7 linked regions of the Oryzias latipes genome follow. The protein of the gene in region 4 interacts with the protein of the main gene of each other region in a pairwise test. Links are inferred from orthologs where the notes say so. Each region holds a gene or a part of one and is shown on either strand. Other genes may lie near its edges.

Evidence for each region.
Region 1: the proteins of dazap2 (region 4) and ubash3b interact in binary tests that used the Homo sapiens proteins (3 or more experiments, as listed by UniProt). The two-hybrid records come from large-scale screens. The link is inferred for Oryzias latipes from reciprocal best matches to the Homo sapiens genes DAZAP2 and UBASH3B.
Region 2: the proteins of dazap2 (region 4) and sqstm1 interact in binary tests that used the Homo sapiens proteins (3 or more experiments, as listed by UniProt). The link is inferred for Oryzias latipes from reciprocal best matches to the Homo sapiens genes DAZAP2 and SQSTM1.
Region 3: the proteins of dazap2 (region 4) and plekhb2 interact in binary tests that used the Homo sapiens proteins (3 or more experiments, as listed by UniProt). The two-hybrid records come from large-scale screens. The link is inferred for Oryzias latipes from reciprocal best matches to the Homo sapiens genes DAZAP2 and PLEKHB2.
Region 5: the proteins of dazap2 (region 4) and exd3 interact in binary tests that used the Homo sapiens proteins (3 or more experiments, as listed by UniProt). The two-hybrid records come from large-scale screens. The link is inferred for Oryzias latipes from reciprocal best matches to the Homo sapiens genes DAZAP2 and EXD3.
Region 6: the proteins of dazap2 (region 4) and poli interact in binary tests that used the Homo sapiens proteins (3 or more experiments, as listed by UniProt). The two-hybrid records come from large-scale screens. The link is inferred for Oryzias latipes from reciprocal best matches to the Homo sapiens genes DAZAP2 and POLI.
Region 7: the proteins of dazap2 (region 4) and rnf208 interact in binary tests that used the Homo sapiens proteins (3 or more experiments, as listed by UniProt). The two-hybrid records come from large-scale screens. The link is inferred for Oryzias latipes from reciprocal best matches to the Homo sapiens genes DAZAP2 and RNF208.

Annotation. Positions count from the first base shown.
Region 1 is NC_019872.2:15,465,856-15,469,355, reverse strand, and holds part of ubash3b (ubiquitin-associated and SH3 domain-containing protein B), read left to right. Parts: intron 1-124; coding exon 125-311; intron 312-1,061; coding exon 1,062-1,260; intron 1,261-2,831; coding exon 2,832-3,001; intron 3,002-3,101; coding exon 3,102-3,310; intron 3,311-3,406; coding exon 3,407-3,500. UniProt on the Homo sapiens protein: Interferes with CBL-mediated down-regulation and degradation of receptor-type tyrosine kinases. Promotes accumulation of activated target receptors, such as T-cell receptors and EGFR, on the cell surface.
Region 2 is NC_019868.2:3,816,862-3,820,905, reverse strand, and holds sqstm1 (sequestosome-1), read left to right. Parts: upstream 1-1,244; coding exon 1,245-1,413; intron 1,414-1,850; coding exon 1,851-1,946; intron 1,947-2,039; coding exon 2,040-2,308; intron 2,309-2,434; coding exon 2,435-2,579; intron 2,580-2,651; coding exon 2,652-2,720; intron 2,721-2,789; coding exon 2,790-2,926; intron 2,927-3,000; coding exon 3,001-3,265; intron 3,266-3,340; coding exon 3,341-3,501; 3' UTR 3,502-3,615; downstream 3,616-4,044. Other genes in the region: mrnip (MRN complex-interacting protein), read right to left, coding at 3,785-3,994. UniProt on the Homo sapiens protein: Molecular adapter required for selective macroautophagy (aggrephagy) by acting as a bridge between polyubiquitinated proteins and autophagosomes.
Region 3 is NC_019862.2:3,235,668-3,239,612, forward strand, and holds the start of plekhb2 (pleckstrin homology domain-containing family B member 2), read right to left. Parts: upstream 2,801-3,945; 5' UTR 2,612-2,800; intron 2,552-2,611; exon of another isoform or gene 2,541-2,551; 5' UTR 2,471-2,540; coding exon of another isoform or gene 2,434-2,470; exon of another isoform or gene 2,106-2,433; intron 2,082-2,105; exon of another isoform or gene 1,903-2,081; intron 1,650-1,902; coding exon 1,613-1,649; intron 1,205-1,612; coding exon 1,052-1,204; intron 957-1,051; coding exon 854-956; intron 755-853; coding exon 715-754; intron 509-714; coding exon 425-508; intron 1-424. Other genes in the region: ing5 (inhibitor of growth protein 5), read left to right, coding at 2,434-2,470. UniProt on the Homo sapiens protein: Involved in retrograde transport of recycling endosomes.
Region 4 is NC_019865.2:22,359,146-22,361,401, forward strand, and holds part of dazap2 (DAZ-associated protein 2), read right to left. Parts: intron 1,333-2,256; coding exon 1,214-1,332; intron 1,126-1,213; coding exon 877-1,125; intron 781-876; coding exon 652-780; 3' UTR 1-651. UniProt on the Homo sapiens protein: In unstressed cells, promotes SIAH1-mediated polyubiquitination and degradation of the serine/threonine-protein kinase HIPK2, probably by acting as a loading factor that potentiates complex formation between HIPK2 and ubiquitin ligase SIAH1.
Region 5 is NC_019870.2:15,860,838-15,864,337, reverse strand, and holds part of exd3 (exonuclease mut-7 homolog), read left to right. Parts: intron 1-1,259; coding exon 1,260-1,421; intron 1,422-1,602; coding exon 1,603-1,788; intron 1,789-1,876; coding exon 1,877-1,930; intron 1,931-2,039; coding exon 2,040-2,179; intron 2,180-2,290; coding exon 2,291-2,397; intron 2,398-2,475; coding exon 2,476-2,549; intron 2,550-2,699; coding exon 2,700-2,738; intron 2,739-2,828; coding exon 2,829-2,995; intron 2,996-3,500. UniProt on the Homo sapiens protein: Possesses 3'-5' exoribonuclease activity. Required for 3'-end trimming of AGO1-bound miRNAs.
Region 6 is NC_019867.2:1,943,930-1,947,969, reverse strand, and holds the start of poli (DNA polymerase iota), read left to right. Parts: upstream 1-1,240; 5' UTR 1,241-1,368; coding exon 1,369-1,453; intron 1,454-1,530; coding exon 1,531-1,650; intron 1,651-2,292; exon of another isoform or gene 2,293-2,338; coding exon 2,339-2,503; intron 2,504-2,618; coding exon 2,619-2,765; intron 2,766-2,907; coding exon 2,908-3,144; intron 3,145-3,220; coding exon 3,221-3,399; intron 3,400-4,040. UniProt on the Homo sapiens protein: Error-prone DNA polymerase specifically involved in DNA repair. Plays an important role in translesion synthesis, where the normal high-fidelity DNA polymerases cannot proceed and DNA synthesis stalls. Favors Hoogsteen base-pairing in the active site.
Region 7 is NC_019870.2:14,790,701-14,794,635, forward strand, and holds the start of rnf208 (RING finger protein 208), read left to right. Parts: upstream 1-1,135; 5' UTR 1,136-1,803; intron 1,804-3,935.

The sequences.
Region 1 (3,500 bases), on a different chromosome or scaffold from region 4:
AAAGATAAACTGACCTTGTTTTAGGTTATTTTATGTCACTGCGTTTGTAGCATCTGTGCCCTCTGCTGGACAGTAGCGGTAATGACTCTGTTTTTGTTGGTCACCTCTCCTTTGACTCCTTCAGGCTCTTCTCACACTTGGACGACCCTTTCCTGGATGACACTCTGCCAAGAGAGTATGTGCTCTACTTGCGACCCAGTGGGCCGCTGCTCCAGCAGCTCAATAGCTTCTGGAAGCAATCTCGCCTTTCCTGTGGCAAGAACAAGGCTCACAACATCTTTCCTCACATCACCCTCTGTCAGTTTTTCATGGTTAGTTGTGTATTTCTTTAAAGTGTTATTACTCATCCACTCCGGGCCTCGTGTCCCTCATGTTGCAACATTCTCAGTGAAGCACTTTTGCTGTAGTGAAAAAGTAGAGGGTTGACAAGTTTTCCTTTCAAAAATAGAAGTGGCCAAGTTTTTAGTGCTCTTTGGTTAAAAGTGTTGTTGTTTTTTCCACTTCTTGGTTTTAAAGAGCCACTCTGAAAGTGGTGTTTTTACATGTTCTTGTGGCCTTTTTCTCATGATGGAAGACATATGAGGAAGATTAGGCTTAAAACTGCTTCTGTATGTCACTAGTGGGGAAAGTATAAACAGATTGTTGACGGGAAGTGAGGGCTTACTCCGCACCAGCAGTCCCGCCCACAACGCAATGGCGAGTTTCTAACGAACTCCTGCTGCTCTGCAGAAACCATGTCAACAACACAGGTTTCTTTTTTAAATTTAAGCTAAAAACAAAATAATCATTGTTAAAAGCCCACTTGGAAGGCTTTGAAAATAAATCAAAAGATGGTTAGAGTGGGTCTTAAAGCTGTGACCCAAGTTCACCTTTGTGCCACAGTTTTTCCATGTCACAAAAATGATGTTGCATCTTTGAACTGATTCAGTCTCACTGTTGGACATTTTTAAAGCAGACATCCACGAAATGTATAGCTTATGGAGCCATATTGTCCGATTTTAACAGACTCAGTTTCAGTACTGAAGCTGATCTTCCTGTTTTGTCATCTCTGCCGTTCTCAGTGTGCTGATGAAAAAGTGGAAGCTCTGTCAGACGCCCTCCAGAACACTGTGGCCAAGTGGAAAGGTCGCATAGGCATGCCCCTCCCCCTGGAGCTCTACACCTCCTCCACCTTCATCGGCCTGTTTGTGGACGAGCAGATAGCTGAGATGCTGAAGACTTTTGCTTCTGATTTTTCTACTGAAGCAGCTTCCAAAGCAGGTTAGACTTTCAGACACGTTAATACTGTTAGCTTTTTCCTGACCTTCAGGAAGGAATTTCTGCTAAATGTTTTCTATATTTTTTTCAGTTCGACAGTAGGATAGAAGGTTATACAGTTAGGGAATTCAGCCAATGGAATGCCCCCCAAAAATCAGATAACAAAGCCGTACAAGCAGCTCAGATGAGGAAAATGAAGACATACATGGACCGAGAAAGAAGAAAGCAAATACTTGAATACTTGTTTGGGTAGTGTGCTCCTCATAAAATCCAGATGTTCACCTTTGAATCCATCATTTTTTTTATTATCTGATTTCTGATTAGCTCAGTTGGCTGCGTGTAGGACTGGCGCATGGGAAACCAATGTTCGTTTCCCAGAGGGCGCGATGACCTTCGTCATGTTGGTCCTTGGGCAAGAAGAATGTAGCCACAAGGGGCCCCAGTTTGGGTTTCCCTGTGCCGGTCCCCAGCCCAGATAAAATACAGGTTTGTGTCAGGAAGGGCAGTGTAAAAAATCTACCAAACCACCTGTGAGAATGGCTGAAAGCTGATTTGCTGTGGCAACCCCTGAAGGGATATGTGGAAAGTTGATCAACAACATTTCATTTCTTTTTTCTGTTTACATGATATTAGGTGAGAAGAAGAGTCATGATTGTTTGTCATGCAGTTTGGTATTCCATTCAGCCTCTGGTTAAATTGTAACCAACTCTAGACATTGAATCCAGAGGCAACAAAATGCCGTCCAGTTGTGGAGCTGTTTCCCTCATCACAGCGAGGCTGAGTACAGATGCCTCCGAAGCAGAGCCAAGAGGCGGTGTGAAAGCAGCTAATGGTTCCCAAGAAGGCTTGTGGGCAAAAATGCTCCAGTGATTGGAAAGATCTCAGCAGTTGGACAAAGAGACATCCTAAACTAATCTCCAAGGCACACAACACCATAGAGACAAATAAAGAGCCTAGTTTGCTCCAGTAAACTCAAAGCCATACAAATGGTCCACTAGAGTTTTTTTCTTGTGGAACTATGAAATAAAACTGGGATTTTTCAGACCTCTGGATCAGCGATGTGTCTGGAAAAGGAAGACTGAAGATTATGCTGAGACGAACATCCTGCTGCTTTGCTTCCTTTGGCACAAGAAACCAGCAGTGTGAGGAGGGAGATGGAGTCAGTCAAGTGTGAGGAAAGCCAAGAGGAAAATACCATGCCATCTGTGAGGGAACTCAAACTTGGACATGACTGGACCTTCAGCAGGAGAACGACACAAAAAATATCTCTAAGAATATTAGCAAGAATTCATTTCAGAAAATAAAATTCAAAATTATAGTCATATTAAAGTCAGTTAGGTGAAGACTGTCTAGTAGAAACTAAAGATGAATAAACTTAGGTTGCAGCTGGATTGGATCGTAGCAGGGTGAAACAGCTGAATAAGACATAATATTTTTGACAAAATCTATGTTTTTGGTTGTCATTAATTGAAAGTCTGCAATTGTTGGGATTTAGAAAACAGACACATTTGAAGGAGGTATTTCATTCTCCCCATTAAGTCAGCTGTAAATGTTTGATCTCCAACCTGATCCAGATGTCCATGTGGAGCCCCATAAGAAGCAACTTCACGTCACTTTGGCGTACCACTTTCAAGCCAGTCATCTTCCGGCTTTGGAGAAGTTGGCCAAAAATGTGGATGCGTCTTCAGGCTGTGACTGGCTGGCTGTGCTCCTATCCCGGGACATCCGCTTTGCCAATCATGAGGTAAACTTTACCTGTTTAAGTTATTTCTCTCTACAATCTGTTTTCATTTTTTTGTTGTTAAATCCTCTTTTAATGTCTGTTTTCCATTTGCTCTCTCTAGACCCTGCAAGTCATGTACCCATATGTGCCTCAGAACGATGACGAGTTGGAGCTGTTGCCGGGAGACTTCATCTTTATGTCTCCGGTGGAGCAGACTACTGCCAGTGAGGGCTGGGTGTATGGCACTTCGCTAGGCACAGGGCTGTCCGGTCTTCTTCCCGAGAACTACGTTAGTCGTGTCGATGAGTCCGACACGTGGGTTGTCCATGGGTAAGAAAAAGAATAGCAGCACTCAGAGCAAGTACAGGCCATCGCTGAGTCACACTTAAGCCGTATGTTATGAATAAAACTTAATTTGATTGACAGGTCTCACTCCTTTCTCAACTGTGCCTCTCCATCTACCTCTGGTACCACTGTGAGTGGGCTGTTATTCGATGGACACCTAAATGACAGTCTGCTC
Region 2 (4,044 bases), on a different chromosome or scaffold from region 4:
GATTTGAAGAGAAGACCTAAAGGTGGACAGAATATCAGGAGATTTCCTCATAAACATTGACTATGAATTTATCATTACTGGTAGTTTACAGATGTAATCCATTTACTACACTTCTGAAAATTGTTTTTCTTTTTTTCCCTCTGAATAGGAAAAATAACTGAAGAATTTTAGACATCAACTCCCTCTCAGTGATCCAGGACAAATAATGGTAGACATGAAAAATGCTTACAGTTAACTAATCATGAGTATTTACTAGAATACAATATATTAGTCTTCATGCAGCTATTTTAACCTTCCATTAGGTCTCTTTGGCTTTAAACAAAAAACCCTGATGATTTCAATAAACAATGGCGTTGTAGTTTTGGTTTATTTATTTAAGTAAAGTTGTATCTTAGGTTTAGATTGTTCACTTGTCTTCGATGTTATAAGGCCTGATTATTTATTATTATTTTCTTGTGACAAACTTTTTTCCTTTTGACTTGGAAGTAATCTCTAAAACAATAATAATTTTAAAGAATAAATATTACATTATAACATTAACAAGAATAACATAAAAATGTAGGCTCCTCCTTGAACAGCTGAGAAAAAATGAATTACAAATTTCAAAAACATATAACGTTTTTTTTCTCCAAAAGAAAAAATCTAATGAAGTTTAACTGTTTTAAGGAAAAAAATTCCAATGTTAAATGAATTATTTATTTAAAATAACTGACATTTTATGGTTAGTTACTAATTTCTCTTTAATGAACTTCCATAGTTTTAAATTGAAAAGATTAAATTTTTTCCCTTGTTTAGTCTGAAACACTAAAAGTACTGAAGCAGTCTAGAACTTTCCTACTAATTCTAGAAGGATCCATTCCGATGGGCCACAGGTTTGATAAACACAGGAGGACGTCTCTAGGCGATTCATCGTTTCCGTGTTTTCATGGCCGCAGTCTGCCTTCTCACGGTGACTCCGCGATGTGTGTGAACTGTCTGCTGGGATCCTGATCACGTGACACACAAGACGGCCTCTGATTGGACCTCTGGAACCGGCGTTCCTTTTACACGGACCAATCCGCGGCTGCGCAACTGTTAACAGAATCACGTCACCTGCGGAAGTAAACATAAAAGAGGCTGAAATTTATCGCTGCGTCACAAACTGGGATTTTTCTTGGACTGTTCAAGTGACGGTTTTGCGTCTGTGTCTCGGTCCTGCTCCCGGTGTCAGAACTTTGTGGTTCGGAGTCCACAGCAGCAGCAGCATGTCTGTGACGGTGAAGGCTTACCTTCTGGGGAAGGACGAGCATGTGAAGGAGATCCGCCGCTTCGCGGTGGACCAGGACGTGTCCTGCAACTTCGAATATCTCAGCAAGAAAACCGCGGCGGTCTTCTCCAACCTGATGAACTCCTCCTTCAACCTCTTCTACAAAGGTGAGCCGCATGGGCCGGGTCAGACAGAGCCGGGATCCGCTGGGTCTGATCGGAACCGTCATACTCACTAACCTGGAACCGAACTTTTTGTCAATACTTTATTAAACAGCCGCAGTAACGCGGAAGACCAACTTAGAGAAACATTCGAGTATATAGAAGGACTGTAGACATTTGAATCTGTACAAACATAATCCGCCCACTGACTTATTTAAGAAACAGCTAATTTAAAGGGATTGCTGTCACGTGACGCATGTAGCCACGCCCACAAATTTCTGTCCTTTGATTTGTGCGCAATTGAAAATATTCAGTTGATCAGGAGGCCCGAAGTTTAGACCCCCCCCCCCCCCCCACACCCACACACAAACACAGGCGGAGTAGGTGGGACCTTATGACGTAGAGGGGAGGAGCTTCAGGTGTGATTCCGGTTTATATTTCAGATGAGGATGGAGATTTGGTGGCCTTTTCTTCTGATGATGAGCTGATGATGGGCCTGGGCTGCGTGAAGGACTCCACCTTCCGCCTCTACATCAAAGGTAAATGCACGGCCTCCTGTGTGAGATCAGAGTGACCTCCCAGCAGTCCTCCCTCACGGTTTTTTTTTTTTTTTTCTTCCTGAACTCTGACAGAGAAGAAGGAGCACCGCCGTGATTTCCCACTGCATGCCCTACCCCCTTTCATGTTTGGACACCCACCACCCCATGGCCCCCCTCATGCTCCACATCACGGCCCTCCCCCCGCCCTGCACCCTAACGTCACCTGTGACGGCTGTGAAGGGCCGGTTGTGGGAATGCGGTTCAAGTGCTCCGTTTGTCCCGACTACGACCTTTGCTCCACCTGCCAGGCTCAAGGGAAGCACACTGAGCACGCTTTGCTGCCCATCTGGCACCCCCTGCAGGTGAGTTACTCCATCTAACCATCTAATCGTCTTTCCACTTCTGTCTGGACATCGTGCTGATTTAAAAGAAAGGACTTTTTGGTCAAAGCCAAAATGCACTGACTGAACCAGAAACTGTGTCTGCAGTGGTTTCCCCGTGGAAAGTGGATGAAGAGAATGAGACACTGCATGTGGAACCAGAACCAGAATCAAAACCAAAACCCAGAGCAGCAGGAACAGCAGGACCAGCCAAGGCCATCAGCATCTTCGGGTGACGGTGGAGAACCATCAGGTGAGAGAAACTCAAAAAACGTTTGAGCCTAGGGCATTAACATGCTCCCACCTTAACCTCTGACCTCTGCAGCTTCCCAGGCTAGTGTGGACTTCCTGAAGAACATTGGGGAGGGGGTTGCCGCCATGTTGAGCCCCCTGGGTGAGTGTACATAGTGGAGTTGCTGTTTTTGGGGGACAGGCAGGAAGTGATGTCATGATTTCCATGCAGGAATCGACGTGGACATTGATGTTGAGCATGACGGGCAGAGGTCGAAGGTGAATCCACCCACTCAGGCTGGAGGGGGGGATGACAATGTGGCAATGGATGTAAACGAAGGGGAGTCTGCAACTGCTGAGAGGTCAAAGGTCAGTCTGTGTTCACTGATCAATGACTGAAATGAACGTGTCAACAACTGACCCTCGTCCCCACGTACACGCAGGCAAGCCGGGACTCTGACGAGGAGTGGACTCACCTGAGCTCCAAAGAGGTGGACCCGTCCACGGGGGAGCTGCAATCCTTAGACCCCAAGAACCACGAGTGCGAGCTGCCGTCGGGAGGGCAGCAGGGGCCCCCGTCGGGAGGGCAGCAGCCGTCGGTAGGGCAGCAGGGGCCCCCGTCGGGAGGGAAGCAGGGGCCCCCGTCGGGAGGGCAGCAGGGGCCAACAGGTCTGCGGGAGGCTGCGCTGTACCCCCACCTGCCTCAAGGTGAGTCTAGTTCTCACAAGTATCATTTGCTATGACTGTTGCCCTCTTGTAAGCTCCTCCCTCTGCCCCCCACAGAGGCGGACCCCCACTTGGTGGAGTCTCTGGCTCAGATGCTGTCGATGGGCTTCACTGATGAGGGGGGCTGGCTCACCAGACTCCTCCAGGCCAAAAACTTTGACATTGGAGCGGCTCTGGACGCCATCCAGTACGCCAAGCAGCCCCGCCCACCACAGTGACCGCACCAGCTGCTTTATTTAACCTGAGTTTCTATCTGTTCAACTGTTAATCAACTCCTTAACCTGTTTCTGTCTTTTATTAATCTGTTTCTGAACAATAAAAACATGAAGGAATCCGAGTGGGTGGAGTCTTGATACACACCTGTACTGCCAAGTGCACAGCAGGCTGCTTTTGAGAACCAAAACAGTCCAAATGAAACACTAAATGTAATTTTATATCACCTGTTTCCACGGCAACACCTCCACCAGCAGCACACTTGAACCAGACTACACATAGGAGCTGCTAGAAGTCAATACTGAAGTCTTCCTCAGTTTCGAACAGGGAGGAAACACTGAGTCCTGGGTGGGGCATGTTGGGGGCTTGACTCCGCCCACAAGCTGGAGGCTCCTCCTCTTGGATTTCGGAATCAGATTTGAGAGAGCAGGCTGAGCTAAAGGCGCGGGGATGGAAGTGAGCTTCATCAGCAGAACGTCTCATTGCTGGACCAATCAGCTGCAGATAAAGAACACAGTAGTGAAAGTTGGATGACAGAAACACCAGAA
Region 3 (3,945 bases), on a different chromosome or scaffold from region 4:
TTTTGGGTTTATTTTAGAAAACAAAACCACAGAAATTATTTTAAATGTTGTCATTATCCTGGATAAATTCTGTTTACCGTACACAAATGTCAATTCCTTATAAATCAAACTATATTTTTTCACATTTCATAAAGAACTTTGCTTTTATTTTTCATCTGTAAACTTCATGGAAAATAAGGTTTGCTATGAAACTCTAAAGTATCACATGTAATTTACAGCTTTTTGATAAGTTATTGATCATTATAATGCCCATGTATCCCCCTTCTTTTAGGTTTGTATTTTTTGTTATTATTTTGTGATTGTTGTTTACCTTTTTCTGTGCCCGTTCTAATTGTAATTTTGGCTGTGAGACTGTAAACCTCAAGTTAGTCTCTTCAATAAATAAAGATTTAAAACAAAAATGTATGTGGTTTCCTCCTTTTACCTGTGGATGGGCGTATTCCGAGTAGGGGGGAGGAGCCGATTCCATGACTTCCTGTGTGAAGCCGACCTGCGGGGCTGCAACCACCTACACACGTCAGAGCAACAAAGGTTTCCCTTAAACCGTAACTCTGTCAGAAACGCCAGACAGAAAACGCTCACAGGTCTAAACTACAAGCTTCTGTTCCACTTGATCCCATCTGATTTCGTGTTCATTTTTAGATCAAATAAAAAAAAAAAAAAAAAATCAAGCTTAGTTTGAGTCTAAACGTATCAGACGATGAAAAATCTTACCATGTTAATCCTGGCATCTTGAAGCGCCATGGTCCATGCTCTGTGTTAAGAAGCAGGAAAAGACGTCAGTCTCACTAAAAGCTTCTCCACAGAACCCAAGAACTACATTTGATCAAAGGTGACACCTAAAGAGTCTTACAGAGCATCATCTGCACTGTCAGCACACAGGCTGATGACACGCCCGTCCCTGCACACTATCTGCAGCAAGGCATCACGGGACTTCCCCTCCGGGGGGGTCAGATCTGACAGGAAATGCAGGAAGGCCCACAATAAAAAAACTCAACGTTTAACTTTAAGGGTCAGCAACTGTCACAGTATCGCGGATGCTGAAATTCACCCTGGCATGCAGCAGAGTTGCGGATGTTGATGCAGCTGACTCTCATGTGGATGTCATCCTCCATGTCCCGCCTCTGCTGATCATTGTAGAACACCAGGCGTCCGTCAGCCCATAGGTCAAACCAGTTTCTCTTCCAGCGGCGCAGGATAGTACCTGCGATGAAAAGAAGCAGCTTCCATCAGCATCTGAACCTCTTTTTTATTACAATTAAATATAACTAATTGTCCAAAACATACAGAACAATAACAATGAGGATGCACATGCATTACAAAACATACATCACAAAAAATTAAAAATGTTCCAGGGCAATATTTAATTATTACTGTTTTGTTCTAATAAGATTCTAATTCTTTTGTTGTTACAGGGATTATTTTTAGAAACTTTAGATTTGTGAATATCAAACTTACCAAATATAATAAATTAATTTTCATCTGAAATTTGAAAACAACGTTGAAATGTATAAAACATTTTTTGTAATATTTCAGTTCCAAAATAGGTGACTCAATGTGTCTAGCTGCTCTTTGGGATGACCTGCATAGGCCGCGCATGCGCGTGACTCACTCTGTCTGTGAAGCCAACCGCTCTTCACCACAGCCATCTGAGAAGACACAACCAAACATGCTGGAAGTGAAACTCAGCAGAACCCCAAAAACGGACTAAATCGACAACAAGGCTCGATGTGACCTGAAATATGTTAGCAGTAGCTACAACTTCCGCTTTGACATGTTACATACATTCTACTAGATGCAGAAAAATTTCCCCAAAGCCGCATTTTAGCCGCAGCGTAAATTTAATACCAACAAAACAGTTTGGAGGCTCAAGCAGTCATAGATGCTATATGGTTGACGTACGTACGTAACCGCGCGTGTGACTCGACAATTCGTCAAAAGGCAAAAAATAATTTGCAACCAGCACGAGATGAGAAGCTTCTGGAGCGGACGGAGGGACCTGCCTGTTCCGTTAGCCGGACCGGACGGACGGACAGAGAGGCTGCAGGAGCCCCGCCCACCGAGACGTTTGTTTTGAATGACGCAACGCACCAGCTGACCGAGCTGGAAAGTGCTGGTAATCTGAGCGGGAACGCGCATGTGAAGGTCTCGCTTGGTCTGCGGGGTGGTGGAGCTGCCAGATCTTCGGTCGGTTTCCCGGTGTTTGGAGCGGAGCGCAGGTCGACTGTCTGCGGAAATACCGTCTAACTACAATCAGTCGAATGCTCTGGAGACGAGACGGGAAGAGAAAAGTTTGAGCGGCGGCGGAGCGGAAGTCCTACAACGACAGGGACCGACGGGCGACCCGGAGTTACAAAACAAACTTAGCGTAGCTTGGTTTGGCTAGTAGTTTGGAAGCTAAAGAGCGCGCGGGAGCCGAACTCTCCGTCAACAATGGCTACTGCTATATACCTGGAGCACTACCTTGACAGTGAGTATCCGTAGAAGGTCCTGGAGGAGTTTTGGTTCGGGCTTCTTCGGTCTTTTTCGTCGCCGTGTGGCTGCGGGTAGTTTAGCAGACGGTAAAGACTAAAGTGTGTGGTAGTAGCACACCTAAACTGATTATACGTACATGTTTGTGACGTCACTTGGGTTGACTTGTGATGGCTTCACAGATTCACGCCGGAGCAGAAATATACTGAGACGAAACCCTTTTAGTTTAGTATTTCCATTGGAGTCACGTTTTTATTTATCTATTTTTATTATTGAGGGATTTTTAACTCAAGAACTGTTTTTCAACCCCGCGTGAAGGCGCTTCCGTTTGCTGCCGGGACTTCATGATGTGCAGCCTGTGCAAACCGCCTTTTTGGTTACTGCGCAGGCCCGGTGCCCCCCTGACTCCACGCCCTGCAGACGAGCCCTTCCAGCTGACGCTGGGTGGCGCTAGAGCGCTGTGCATCCTGTCAGCCCCACCATGCTGAGCACGACCATGATGTGGAACAGGGGCCACCTACATCCTTAGAGCAGCGTTTTTTAACCAGTGTGCCGTGGGAGATGGTCATGTGTGCCGTGGGAAATTGCCCTCATTCACTGATCTAAAAACATTTACCATCTCCAGGATTTCAGCTCAAAAGATCGGATACGTCTCAGATTCAGGACCACATACCCAAGGGGCCTGGGTCACATTTGAAAAGATGGGATCTGCGTCGTCCAGACTGTCATGAAAAGATCAGATACAGGTCACAGGGGGGCAAAAAAATCGGAATTGGGTCGTTTCAGTCTGTGGTGTGAACGTAGCCTTTGACGTCTTGAAACCACAACGAACACGCATCAAACAGTTTTTAAATATTTTAACTTAACTTTTATTACATCTTTTAGAAGAAACAGCTGCAGCTTCCAGCTTTTTCTGCCACAATTATCACAGAAATGCATGTGAGATTGTGGAGGGACTGTACATCAATACAGACTAAGAGTTTCTCCCTTTTCTTTATTTTTGGATGCTGGTGTGCCGCGGGATTTTTGTCAAGGTTTAAGTGTCCCGTGGCTCAAAAAAAGTTGAAAAACACTGATCTAGAGAGCAAGACTAGAGAAAGCCAGAAGGAGCTGCATTTCCAGAAGAAAATGCAAGGTTTTAACGTATATTGCTTAATGAAAATGAAACTAAAAGGGTAAGAATGGGCACAAAATAAAAAATTAAATAAAGAAATGTTCAAAGTTGACCATAAGTAAAGTAAAAACGGCAAAATAATAAAGATATTTTTGTGAAAAATGCCAGACAAGTTTCTGCACCCAGGATTCCCCATGTATTTCAATGGAGGCAAAAATCATGGAATATCTGGAAAAGTTCAAGGATTTGAAGGACCAAAAGTCATAACTGGAAAAAGCTGAAAGAGCTGAATAGTTAAAATAGCTGAAAAATTGTAGAAGGAGATAAGCGGCCAAAAATGTCAGAAGATACTATGATAA
Region 4 (2,256 bases):
TGATTTGGGTATTTTTGTGCAAAAGACAATGCGATGCTAGCTAAAAGCATCCAGGATGCTTTGTTGATGTTGTTGTCTTCCCCATCTTAACAGTTGAGATGTTTCATCTCTTGATCATCAGAAGAATATTTACAAGGAAGTATTACACATCTAACTACACGTTTAAGGATTTTTCAAAAAAGACAAGGTTTCTTTTTAACTAACTGCAACTTTGCATTTCACTGTCACCATAAAGCAGCTAAACTATAGTAATGCAGTATGATATTTCGACATTTCAACTATTTACTTTCACAGGATTACAAGGACGTCTCCATTTAATTTGTAACATTGGATCATAAGAAAAAAGCGGGTCACTTGAGCAGATACGGACGCCTGGTAGAGTTCCAATATGGAGGTTCGATTCAATGGAGGATTATGGGATGGGTTTTCTCCAGGTGGTGTCGTTTTTATCGTTTCATTTCCAAGTCAGAAGTGGAGTACTGTACCTTTTACAAGGGCTCTAAAATATTACATTCCGTTAGGTGATATCAGTATTGTGGCATGGCCAAGCAGCCTAAAGAAGGAGGCGTATGGGATGGGGGAGTAACAGGGGTATCATCGGGGTGGAGGGGGGCGGGTATGGTATAGGCATAAACAATGAGGGACTTGCTGTTACCAGATGGTATACCCTCCATTGGATCCGCCCATGAAGAAGTTGTTCTTACGCTGCGTCATGACAACGTTGGCGCCTTGCATGGCGGCCAGCTGAGCTGCGTTGGGGGGGTGTCCTGGAGGTGGTGGCTGATGAGGGTTGAAAAACAAAAAAGAAGAGTTGTTAGGGACAGCTTAAAAACTTTTGCAGTGGATGTGGCTTTTTCTGCAATGCTGGGTACTCACTGGGATGGAAACGCTACTGCCAGCTGAGAAGCGAGCACCAGCATCAAAGCCACCTTCAACCATTACTGTTGATCCAGGGGAGTACATTGTTCCCATGGGATAGTAAGCCATGGGGACATTCTGGCCCACCGGTCCAACCTGCATGTGTGGCTGCATGGGCATGTACACCTGGGCGCCAGGATAAGGAGAAGACATCTGCGGCACCTGGCCAGTCATCTGAGGTGGAAGCACATACCTGGGCTGGTATATCTGCAAAGAAGGAAAACAGGTGTTTTAAAAAAAAAGCAACAACAGGTTTTCGTCTGTTAATAGTTTAGGTTATCAAGAGGAGGGCTACCTCAGAATACGCAGGTGGTGTATCCGTGTAGGGGGGTGCCTGAGGAGACATTTGCATAGCAGGAGGGTACACAGGTGCAGTGCTCTGCTGAGGATACACAGCCTGCTGTGGATATGAACCTGCAAAACAGCATTTCAACAAATTACAGTACCAAAAGATGTATTTTTACCAACAAAAACATGTCCAAAACAAAGTATCAGAGCAAGAGTGATTATTCTGGCAAAAAGAATGACTGAGCTGTTTATTTGTCACTAGAAGTCTATGGGATGTGGGCGTAATATTATTATTATTATTTCTTTTTTTGGGGGGGGGGGTTATTGAAGCCAGCGGGTAGTTCCTGTTTGGAACGCAAGGAGAGGAGTCAGTCCTATACTCACATACAATCAGTGGATTCACCTAAAGAAAACCTACAAACCCCAAACATTTTACTTTATATTATAAAAACCTCTATCTGGTGCATTAAGATATTAAGATATTAAAAATAAACATTTTTCCTTGTTATAAAAGTTTAATGATCTTAAAGAATATGTTTACTATTTATTTGTACCCCTTTGATCACTATATACTACTATTTAATATCAAAATGCATATTTGATAGAGATGTCACAGTTTTGAACTGAAACCAAACCTTATGATAGACCCCTGGCCAGAGTAGTGGGGAATCAAACCGGTGCGTCCCACCTGCATACCAGTGTGTCAGACACGTGTTGTGCTAAATTTAAGAAGGATCTATAATTTCTTGTTTTATTACATTGCACCAGTCTTAGTATGAGCCAACTAAAGGGGTTTTCTTTCATTGTTACTGGCTTATTAGCAAATTAAAAATCTTTTTTTTTTTTCATTTGTAGTTTTTGCTTGCTTTGTAATACAAAATCTAAATATCAAACCAAATCAAAACCATGGCTCAAAAATAAAGGTTTGGATCGAATCGTAATGTATATCTCTGCATCCTTGATTGTTAATATGATTTTAACAGAAAATCCTCATAAATTATCTTTTTTTTAATGTAGAAATCATTATTTTTATAAATATTTTTTATCTGA
Region 5 (3,500 bases), on a different chromosome or scaffold from region 4:
CTCTCTCAGATGAACACAAATGCCAATTTTTGTTGCATCTATTTCCTTTAAGTTAGGAATTTGTCAAAAATGTCTGGACTCATAAAGTCCCTTTTATAGCTTTGGTAAGCTCATGATGAAGTGAAGCTTATTCATAAACACAAACTGGACCAATTCATACTTGAGATGCCCACTAAAAGTGAAAAATGTGACACGCTAACGTTAAATGATTTTGAAATAAATTAGAAAATCAGTTGTTTAAAAACCCATTTTGGTGAAAATTGTGTTTTTAACATGTTCTTGTGGCATTTTTCTCATGATGGAAGAGAATTATGAAAAACATTAAGCTCAGAATTGTACTTCTTTCCGCAAATTGTTGTGAATCAGGAACAGAAATGACCGTAAGCTCTCCTCTTCGCTCCGTTCTGATGGATCTAGGGTCCTGCCCACAACTTAATGGTGAATCTCTATCAAACGCCTAGAAAAAGGAATTTTTTGTGATTCTGGCTAAAATTGACATAATCACAATTAAAAGACCGCAGGGGATGCTTTCTAAAATTGATCAAAAGATGATCGGATGGGACTTTATTTGAAGTTTTGGCAGTTTTTGCATGTCCTCTAGTATTTGAAGGTTGTTCTTAATGCTAAAATTGAACAGTACTGACTTTCTCTTGCAGATTGGTCTTTAATTTATGATTCAAGTTGGTCTTTTTTGTCATTTTTTTCACGTCTTTCCTCAGCAGAATTCCCCTCATTTGTTGTCAAGCTCCCATTTTCTGGCTGCACCCCCCCTATTTACTGAACAGTTGATTTGCACACTCCTGATGTTCCCCTCTGGGAATTTCTTTTGTTTTTGAAGATTAAGGACGGCCTCTTTCACTTGCTTTGACAACTTCTTCGACCACATGTGGTGGATGTTAAGCCGTGGCTGCCAAATGAGCATACCACACTTAGAATGAACTCTGAACGCCAGACGCTTCATCAAAATCAATGTTTAATAACTAGTGAGATGAGCCAAAACAACTAAACTGCTTATGCGTCAACTCTCCAGCAACGTTGAATCCATCAAACAGCTTGATTTCTTGCACATTTACTTTCATTTGAGCACGGCTTTAAGCAGAGCTACCCTTTAATTCCATTAGAAACAAATTACTTTAACTTTGAAATCTTTTGGCTTTTATCTAAAAAAAAAAAACTGCACCTCAGAGATTCAGTTTAAATCGAAGTCTACCAGCTAACTTTTCAACATTACATGTGGTCCTCTCTGTTTTTGTCCATAGCTGCGTTCAGCAACCCAGCAGGGGTTTTCCAAACTGTCTGAGCCTCTCGAGGCCTTACTAACAATCCTGGAGCGTTGTCCGGGCAAACAGAAAGGTCGGAGCCACACTCTGGGTTATCATATCCTCATGGATTTTCAGGCATGGATGAAGGACCACCCTCAGGTAGATGATCAAGATGTTCCAGATTTTGGTCTTTTAGAATGGTGTCAAACTTTAAGTTAAGTCAGCCTCATAAATATCTAGGATAACTTGAATGAACAAATTCCCTTTTAAAAAACGGTTTAAAATTAAACTAATTTCAATTTACGGTTTCTTTTTAAAACTTGTCATTTGTGTTATTCAGGTGAACTTGAGCTCAGTCCCTGAACAAAAAGCTCTTGCACTCCAGCATCGAGCCCTCGACTTACTAACAGACACACAGCCCGCCTTCGTAGATGCTCTCATCAGCATCTACCAGCTCAAGTCCTTAGACCCATCGATTCTACGACTCCATATTATGAATTTGCAGGACGTCAAGAATTACAAAGAAGTGAGTTTCCGAACACAAAAACAAACATTTGAAAGTCCTATAACAAGTGCAATGATAGTAAATCATTGGTTTTCTTTTTTTCTGGTAGGCTGCAATCCTCAGCATGAAGCTGGAAGTACAGGAAGAACTAAATATGGAAAAGGTGGGGTGAACATTAAGTGGCTTTATGGACTATGTTTACTTTAAGATCATAAATTAGATAATAACATTCCTAAATGGTATTTCTATTTTTCTAATCTTTTCATCCACAGATGTGTGTGCCTCTCATTGTGCTGGATAAGCTGTCGTTGGCAGAGGCGTTCGTCAGCGGCCGCAGACAGCTTGAACAACAACTTGTCTCACTGCTTGACTCTTGGTGTCACCCCAACTTCAGTGCTGAGAGGATTAACAAGTATGATATGCCACGTGAATGAGTAAAAACCAGCTTTGGAACGGAGCTGGGGTTGACATCAGTGTTGTAGTAGGCTATGAAATCCAACAATGTGCATGTGTGCCTCTGCAGGCTGTTTCCAGGCCTGACTCGGTCCAAACAGAACCTAGCACAAATCCATCCAAAGATCCTTACCAAGCATGTCTTAAGACTCATGGAGAAATTCAAAGTGGATCCAGGTGGGTTCCCGGCACATATGGGCTTATCAATAAACATTTTTTGGTGTGTTACTAATATTATGCTTTTTCTTAACGCAGCACTGTGTCCAAATGCGTTGCACAAGAGGAGATTAGACACTCTGCGTTACCTAATGTATAAAACCTTTGTGGAGGTGAGCAAAAGTCTAGACTTCCCAGCTGTTTTGTAATCATTGTTTGGCAACAGTTTGGAAGAAAAATGCATTCTGCTGTCCCCTCAGTTTATCCTGTTTCACTGCAGGGTTAGAAAAATGAATAGCAATGTTCTTTCTTTATTCTTACAGCAAGGTATGACTGAAGAAAGCTGGGCTGACCATGTGCAGGTAAGCTTTATTTAAAAAAAACAAAGACGTATACATTATGGAAACATCAGTGGGTTTTGCTTCATTTTTAGTTTTATGTCATGTCTGCAGAATGTGGTGGCAGATGATGCAGAGCTGCACATCCATTTGGTAGAGTTGTTGGCAAAGTACTGTGGTCTTCAGAAAGCCTCCCAATGGTCCCTGAGATACAACATACCAAGGAATCGACTTCCCTTTGGGGTGTGGGAAACCCAGAGAAGTCTGCCACCTGATCTGCAGTGAGTAGGAAATGATCAAAAAAAGCCACAAGCTCATAGGATGCGTAGGAAAAGTTGGAACCTTGAGTTTTGTTGCATGTTCACATCATTTTGAATTAACTATAAATCTCATTTTTTTTATCAATCTCCACATTCGGGAAAGGGGGAGGGCAAAGGGGTGGGTTAGTTTTACTACCGGTAATTTATTTTTTGCTAGTAATTTTTGTGCTTTTGTATTTTTTTTTAATTGTAAAGTGCTTTGAGCTGTGTCAAGCATGAAAAGGAGTTTTTTCTTTTTTCTTTTCTTTTTGAGTTTTATTAGAAATATAGGGTTATCTCATCGGTGTTGTTTAAAACGACAGTTTTTTAAACTTAAATATATTCAGTTTTAGTATTTTATAAATGACAAAATCATTTAATGGTAGCAGATCAGAACTTTAGCTGTTGGGGAGATTTCATTTAGTTTTAGCCCTTGACCCAAAATTCAGTCTTTGTATGTTAACATTAAACAATTTATTAAAATATC
Region 6 (4,040 bases), on a different chromosome or scaffold from region 4:
GAGAATCTGAGGTTTTTCGGGATACTTTTGTTTGCGTTTTTTTTCCCCAGTGGATCGTAAGATAATTTTTTTTTTTAAAGTGTATTGCATTCAATTGTAAATGAAAAAAGATCATTCAAATCTTTTCCACATTTTCATTCGAACATGTTTAAGAACTACAAACAGGCTGGGCTCTAACCTCATCTGCTCATGGAAATTATAAGATGAGCAGAAAATGTGTTCTTCTTTTCTTTTATAATATGTTTTAGATTTTTTTTTAATACATGAAACGTTTTTTGTGTTTGTTTGCTTGTTTTAATTAAATGCAAAATGTTTCCATACTTTCATACTATGGAAGCACTTGTGTCTCATAATTAAAAATGAAAGTCAGTACCAGAAATGCCTTTTCATTTTCACAACAAAGCTGCGTTTGTTGACTTTGTTTGACAATTCAAGAAGAAAAAGAAAAAGCAGTTTGGCAGATTGATTTTTCATTTTATTTTTGAGTTGACAAACGCAGCTTCATTGTGAAAAGGAAAAACTGTTAATCTGTTAATCCATTTTAATTGTCAAATTAGATATTTCTAGTTGAATGTTGATACACATTTACTAGAGAACTTTTTGAAAATGAAATGTCAAACACCATTCTCTTTATCCTTTTATTAAAGGTGACAGATTAAACTTTGTTGAAGAAACGAAAATGCCGTTTGGCAGATTGATTTTTCATTTTCTTTTAAATAGATAGATATAGATAGATAGATAGATAGATAGATAGATAGATAGATAGATAGATAGATAGATAGATAGATAGATAGATAGATAGATAGATAGATAGATAGATAGATAGATAGATAGATAGATAGATAGATAGATAGATAGATAGATAGATAGATAGATAGATAGATAGACAACTTTATTTATCAATGGGGGAGGTTCCCGCATGGAAATTGACATCTCCATCGCATACAGCACTGGTTGACATACGTATATGAAAGAGCAGTACAGTATCCAGAAAAATTAGAACAGTAAAAACAGTAACAGTTTAAATATCTGCAGAACAGCATATACAAAAAAAAGTCATTCAGGCCCTTTCCCTTTCCTTTTCTGTCCCCCTCCCCCTTTAAGTCAACAAATGCAGCTTTATTGTGAAAATGAAAAAGCATTTCTAGTACCGACTTTTATTTTTTAATTATGCTACACAAACGCTTCCATACATGGCTTTCTTAAGGAGGGGGGAAATAGGAAATCCAGGTTCGTCTTCCACACCAGTTGGTGGCGGTAATGAGCTTCTTAGCTGTTTTGGCGCCGCTATTTCAACCACAGAAGAAGAACCCTGGCTGAATCTTTTACACTTCAGATGTTTTTACAAACTTTAGACTCATAAATAAAATGGACAGCAGCGATGAAGAGATGGACGGAGACGATGGCCAGTGGAGGAGCCAGTTCACGGGTCCAGAAGAACCCGCCACTTCCGGTAAACTCTGAAGCTTTAAGCTAGCCCGTGTCGGAGCTCGCGGCTGTCATGAACTTCAGTTGTGTCTCCGTTTTCAGGATGGAGCGTAAATAATCCTCCAGGAGCTCCTCACAGAGTAATTCTCCACTTTGACCTGGACTGTTTCTACGCTCAGGTGGAGATGATCAGAGATCCTTCTCTGAGGGAGGTTCCTTTAGGTAAATTCTCTGTTTTAGGCAATTTTCCACCGTTTTCTTGTTTCTGCTGCAGTTTTCTTTTTTGATTTCAGATTCCCGCCTTTCATGGAGTTTTTTTCTTCTTCATTTTATTCCATTTAGATGACATTTTACCGTTATGACCATTTATGGACATTATATAATTGCACTTCCCCACTAAATAATAAATTTATTTCCATTTGACATTTAATATTTAATGGATTAAGTGTAGTTTTTAATATTTCTGTGTATAATTAAAGGTAATTATAATGACCTCATTAACATGTGGATATATTTATATGGAGATTAATGTAGGCTACATGTGTGTCTATAAATATATTTGTGTATATTTCTATACCATCTTTTTCTTTAAAGGTTTTTTCCAGTTGTTTCATAGCAAATAACCCTAAGTTCTAATGTATTTATGTACAGATAAGTATTTATTTAGTTTACTTTTTTCTGTTTTAAATTCCAGATTAACCGCACTAGAGCAATCTGGAATAAACTGGATTAAAGCAAAAACACAGGAACAAAACTTTGTTAAACATAAATGTATAAACTTAATTTAAAGGACGAACAATACATTGTAACAGATAGGAAATCTCAGAGCAAAACTCAGTATCCAGGTGTGACTTAGTTATATACCTCTTAGAATTTAAAGTTGCTCAAACGATGACGTCTGTGTCCTCAGGCATCCAGCAGAAGTACATCATCGTCACCTGTAATTACGTGGCGAGGGAGCGCGGCGTCACCAAGCTGATGTCTGTAACCGATGCCAAAGAAAAATGTCCAGAGCTGGTTCTGGTCCGAGGAGAAGACCTGACGCTCTACAGAGAGGCTTCCCATCAAGTGACAGGCAGGAATCTGGAGCCGTTCTTAGGCTAATTAAAAACAGATCTACAGGATCAGATTGTGGAGAAGAGCGATCCTGAGACTCTGATTGACTTTACCTGCCGTTTTCCTCCTCTCAGAGCTGCTGTCGTCTTTCTGTCCTTTGGTGGAGAGACTTGGCTTTGACGAAAACTTCATGGACGTCACAGAGATGGTGGAAAGGCGGATGAAGGAGACGCCGCCGCCTGAAGGATATTCGTTTTCTGGACACGTCTACAACCCTTCCAGTGAGTTGGACTCGCATCGCTGCTGCAAACCGTCGCTGTCAGGAAACTGAGAGGAACTTGCAAATCAGGATATTTGCATGAGAATCTCGGTTTCTTTCCTGCAAGCGGTCCGTTTTTTGCAGAACGCCATGCCTCTGTGCAGACGCAGAGATCAGCGGCAGCGACCACCCGCGGCTGGCTTTGGGCTCCTACATCGCGGCCGAGCTGAGGGACGCGGTCCACAGCAGACTGGGCCTGACGGGCTGCGCCGGCGTCGCCACCAACAAGCTGCTGGCCAAGCTGGTTTCAGGCACCTTCAAGCCCAACCAGCAGACGGTCCTGCTGCCGGAGGACGTCGGCCACATCATGGAGTCACTGGGCGGAGTTCGGAAAGTTCCAGGTACGGAAAGATGGCCTCCTAAAAAGCAAACCTGTGGCGTGTTTGAGAAACTGTTCAACCTGGACGCTGCCCTCAGGTGTGGGGCATCAAACGGCTAAAAAACTCCACCAGCTGGGCGTGGTTAGCGTGAAGGACCTGCAGCTCCTCCCACTGCCTGACTTGGTGAAGGAGTTCGGAGGCGCTGTTGCTCGGCGCCTGAGGAATCTCTCCCTGGGTGTTGATGACTCACCTGTCACCCCCAGCGGGGCTCCCCAGGTGAGTCGGGACATTCGCTGAGCTTCTGACAAAAATACAGACTTTGATTAGATCAAAAAAGTAAAATATATACCACACAGTTTTTTTTCTTTTTTAAATGACTTTAATATGATAAAACGAATGATATCTGATTGAACACAGACAAAGGAAATGTGTCAGTTCTGGTTGTTTTTGATCTCAGTGCGGCATTTGTCCATTGGTAATTTCACATCTGAGCTAGCAGAAATTATATGTGGAGTTCCCCAAGGCTCCATCCTGGGGCCACTTTTTCTATTTAGCATTAACATCAGGGCTAATATATATATGTACATATAGTTTATATTTATACTTTTTCTAAAGTTTTTATTTGAATAATCACCCCTTTAATATTCTTGTTAAATATTTCTTTAAATTTTTTTGCCTGGAATTATTTTTGATCCCAAAATCACCCGAGTTAACGACATCATTTTTACTTTTCTTACAAAATAAAAGTCTTGTTTCTGTGATTCTGATACTTAAAGAGTTTCATTGTTGATTGAGGAGCAAACAAATAGATTTATTGACACTGTTTTCTATTACATTATTTTCTATATGATTTTATTTTATTGAGGTTCAAAGGAGTGAATGAAGAACTGAAGCTTCATCTAAAAACTCCTGTCGTG
Region 7 (3,935 bases), on a different chromosome or scaffold from region 4:
GTGAATTATAGGTGACACCGAACAAAACATGCAAGGTATTTATTCTCTTATCCTGCCTTCTTTTACTGGACCTTCTACCTAATCCTGTCATTTTAATACAGGGTGATGTTTGTAAAGAAAGTTTAGCCTAAAACGGTTAAGCATATTAAATCAATATGTTCAGAATTGTTAGGAATCAAGTTAGCTTAATGGTCATTTTATTTCACCTCATACAGCACATTAAAAATAATTTGTAAGACAGCAAATATTAAATTAATTATGAAACCCAAATCATGATAATGCAGCTTTGTATATTTGCATTCTAAAAAAGAGAAAATTAAAAAAAGTTGTACTAGTTCTTATTTCATTTTTGTTTAAATATAAAATTACAAGAATTACTTCAATTTCTTGGGCCTCCACTTTTCCTCTAATGTTGATTTCTATATTCTGCATTTGATCTGACGTTATGTAAGCATTCGCCTTAAGCTCAGAACTCACATCATGCACAACCTTTTTTTCCCAGCTTTGATCTGGGGATTATTTATTTGTTTCATGAAAGCTTTAGTAGACATCAAACTTAGAAATCCTGATTATGCAACATCACAGCTCCTCTGGATCTGAGTCAGGTGTCCAGAATGCAGTTTTACAGCGTCTGTGTGGTTTCTAAAGAAACTCATGTTCCTTGTTTATGTCTTAAGATTGTGAAGATGAATTTAAGCAGATGTCTTCTCTTTGCTGCAGTGGTCACGAGTAACTTTTAACGCCTTGCAGAAAATAACAACATGAATGTTGTTCTTTTGGTGTGCATTTTGCATGATCCAGGCTGGAGAACTGTTAAGAACACATACGTCTTTCTTGCAAATGCTCAATGATCTATAGCTGTCTTTTCTCCATCGGCTCCTCGTGTTTCCTGTGTGGCTGACTGGTGAGATTGACCACATGTGCTCACACAGAGCATGATTCACAGCTCTTTTTTTTTCCGGGGGGGGGGGGGGGGGGGGGGGGGCTTTCATATCTACTGTGCATATTTGCTTGTTTGGATGGGGGTGGGGAGTCTGGTCCTGATTGGCTAAAAAATTTTCTCAGTTGACGAGGGAACGTGATCCCGCCTGCAGAGGCACTGCAGTGTGTGCTGCAGCGATGGTTCAAGAGGAAGGAGAGGTGGTGGGAGAGTGTGTGAGAGACGGAGAGGAGGGGCGGGGAAGCAAAAAGAGCTGCACGCATGAGGGGAGTGAGCCAGGAGCCCAGCAGAGACAGGGTTGTGTGGATGTATGTGTGAAGGCACTGCGCATGTGTGACTGTGAGGTGCACTGACTGAAGCAGACAGCGGAGGAAAAAAGAGCAGTAATGAACGGCTGCTGAGCGATAACAGCAGAGGAGAGGGGAAGAGGCTTACCTGAAGACCACAAGGCAGGACGGTGGACAGGAGGGAAGGGAACGGATGAGAGATCAGAGGCGCAGCACAGAAAAAGCTGAATAATTTGGGAGAAGGGCAAAAAATAAGGAGATGGAAAGGAAGATGGGAGAAATCAAGAACTCGAAAGAACAGAAACAAGGTTAAGGGTGTGAAAAACAAGGATAACAGAGAGGAGAGAGGAAGAGGAACCGAGGATGATGAAAGCCGCAAAATGAGTCCACCTTGTGAATGCTTCCTCCATCTTACATCTCCTCCATGTTGTTGATGGTCCTAGAATGAAAAGGACAGAAGAGAGCATCCTTCCCCTGATGAGACATTTCCCGCACAAAGAGCCAAACGGTGTATCATCACTGGAAAGCTTTGCCTGCAAGAACAGAAGCAAGAAAAAATCAGGAACAAGTGCACAGGTAATGACAAGGGCTTTGTAGGATTTTCTTTTGTGTGATGACCATTATCTGTGTGTGCGCATGCTTCTTGCTGTGACACATCGCCTTGTTTTTCACCCAAATGTTTCTTTTTTTTCTTTGTGTGGGCAGGACAAAGGCAAAGGTTTTGCTTTGTTGCATTGCATTGTTGTTGCATCATGGTGATTCATGTGACAGCTGGTCATACACGCGCTGATGTGTGAATGGAGACCAATGCATGCCCACCGATACACTCCCACCTCGCACAGATCAAAAACGGCGGTCGGAAATTGGTCTGTGGACACTGATCTCGGGTGTTTAGTCGCAGATGGAGCCTTGAGGGTTTCCTGTTTCCATGACATTTGACAGACCTCTGCACAGACAGAAACAGAGAGGGCACAGGTGGAGGGCTGGAGGGTAGGGGGGGGGGCACAGGTAAAGGGCAAGAACGGCCTGTTCTGTCGTTGTCAGCAACACTGAGACGTATCCATATTGGCCGTGCACTGGTGCTGCAGTGAGAGCACTCGGCACACCATGCTGCGATTGCATAACTGCTGCTTCCAAGTGCACCCCTCCCACTTTGTGCAAATCAATGCACCGAAGCCTCTTCTTTGCACAGGGTCCAAATATCTCAGCTACCTCACTTCTGTCCCATCTTTCGGAGCTCGCCGCCTCAAAAATACACCTTAAATCTCTGCAGAGATAGTTGCAGTAATCAATCCTGGCCCCCGCACTTACTGAAGAGCTGAGCGCCTGCTGTGCATTTCCTGTCATCAATCTTCCATGAGGTCTGTGTTTATGAAGACAGATGCTAATTATTATTGCTGTCATTTTTTTTCCTCCTTCCAATGTGCATCTCTGCCATGTTGCTGTGAGAGCAGAGAGGAACAAAGAGCATTTGGCTGTAATGAATTGCGAAGCAAAATGGCCGATGTCTGCCACAAATGACTGAATGAATTATTTAAATCAACACCTCAGCAAGCCCTCCCAAAGCTCTCTATTCATCAGAAAGACTTAAACATCCAACTGATGGGGATCTAAATCCTAAGAAAAGATAAATCTTTGTGTTTGTTTTGAAAGCTGTATTTGAAATAGCAGTATTGGAAAGTATAATCTGAGCATTTGTTTGGCTAAAATGTGTAATAGACATTGATGACCAATGGCTTGTGTGCTTTTGAGAGAGAAAGCTCTGGAGTCTCATTTAAAGTTGCAAAATATGCCAGCGTTTGCATAATTGTATTGAATCACTGCAAACGAGATTATTTTAGGAGAAAATCTGCAGCTAACGGGACTACAGTAAATCTGGGGATTTGTCCTTAGTACATGCTATAAGGTCGTGACACGTTACGCAATCAAAACACAGCAGAGTATTCCGCTCGGATCTGAAGGGAGACATTTGGACATGCCCACCTCGAAATGGGTGAGAACTAAAATCTCCACATAGCTGGAATACCTGACGTGCGGCTGGCATGTGGTATGAGGAGCACGGTGACTGTGAGCATGTGAGTGATGGTGGTGGACGGTGAGGCGAACACATCTTCTGTGATAAGAAAAGGGACGGGCCCATGCCCGCTGTGTCCATGACTCATTCATTCAGAACGGGGCGCTCTTCTCCTACACAGGTGGACTTCATCCGGTGCAATCATGCTGACCCGGTGAGACCTACGTGTGTGTTTGAATGTGCTGATGTGTGCGTCAAACACACAAAGGAAAGCGGTGGGAGTGTTTTTACAGGAATGTTCTGGAGCGACATGAGGCCTTTCCATTACTTTTTAGAAATCTTTCCAATTAGTTTTTTGGTTTTATTTCATGCCAGCTGGTTATCAGTTTGTGTCCGCAGGAATGTAAAGGGTGGTGCCCTGATGGGGCAAGAATGTTCTAGGATGCATGTGTCTAAAGTGCACAAAATGCAGCTCTGTGTGCGTTTAATGGTTTAAGGAATTTGCTGCTGAGGCAGACTACACTGGCATTTCTGTGGTCAGCTTTCCCTCCTCTTTGCTTATGGATGAGGTCAAATGCCTGCCCTGATTTCATTAGCGTTTTAATTCCTCTGATGGAAGATGATGGAGATCCACATCAACACAGTGCCAACTGGGGGCGGAGAGCACCACCAGTTTACACTGTCTCAATGTGGT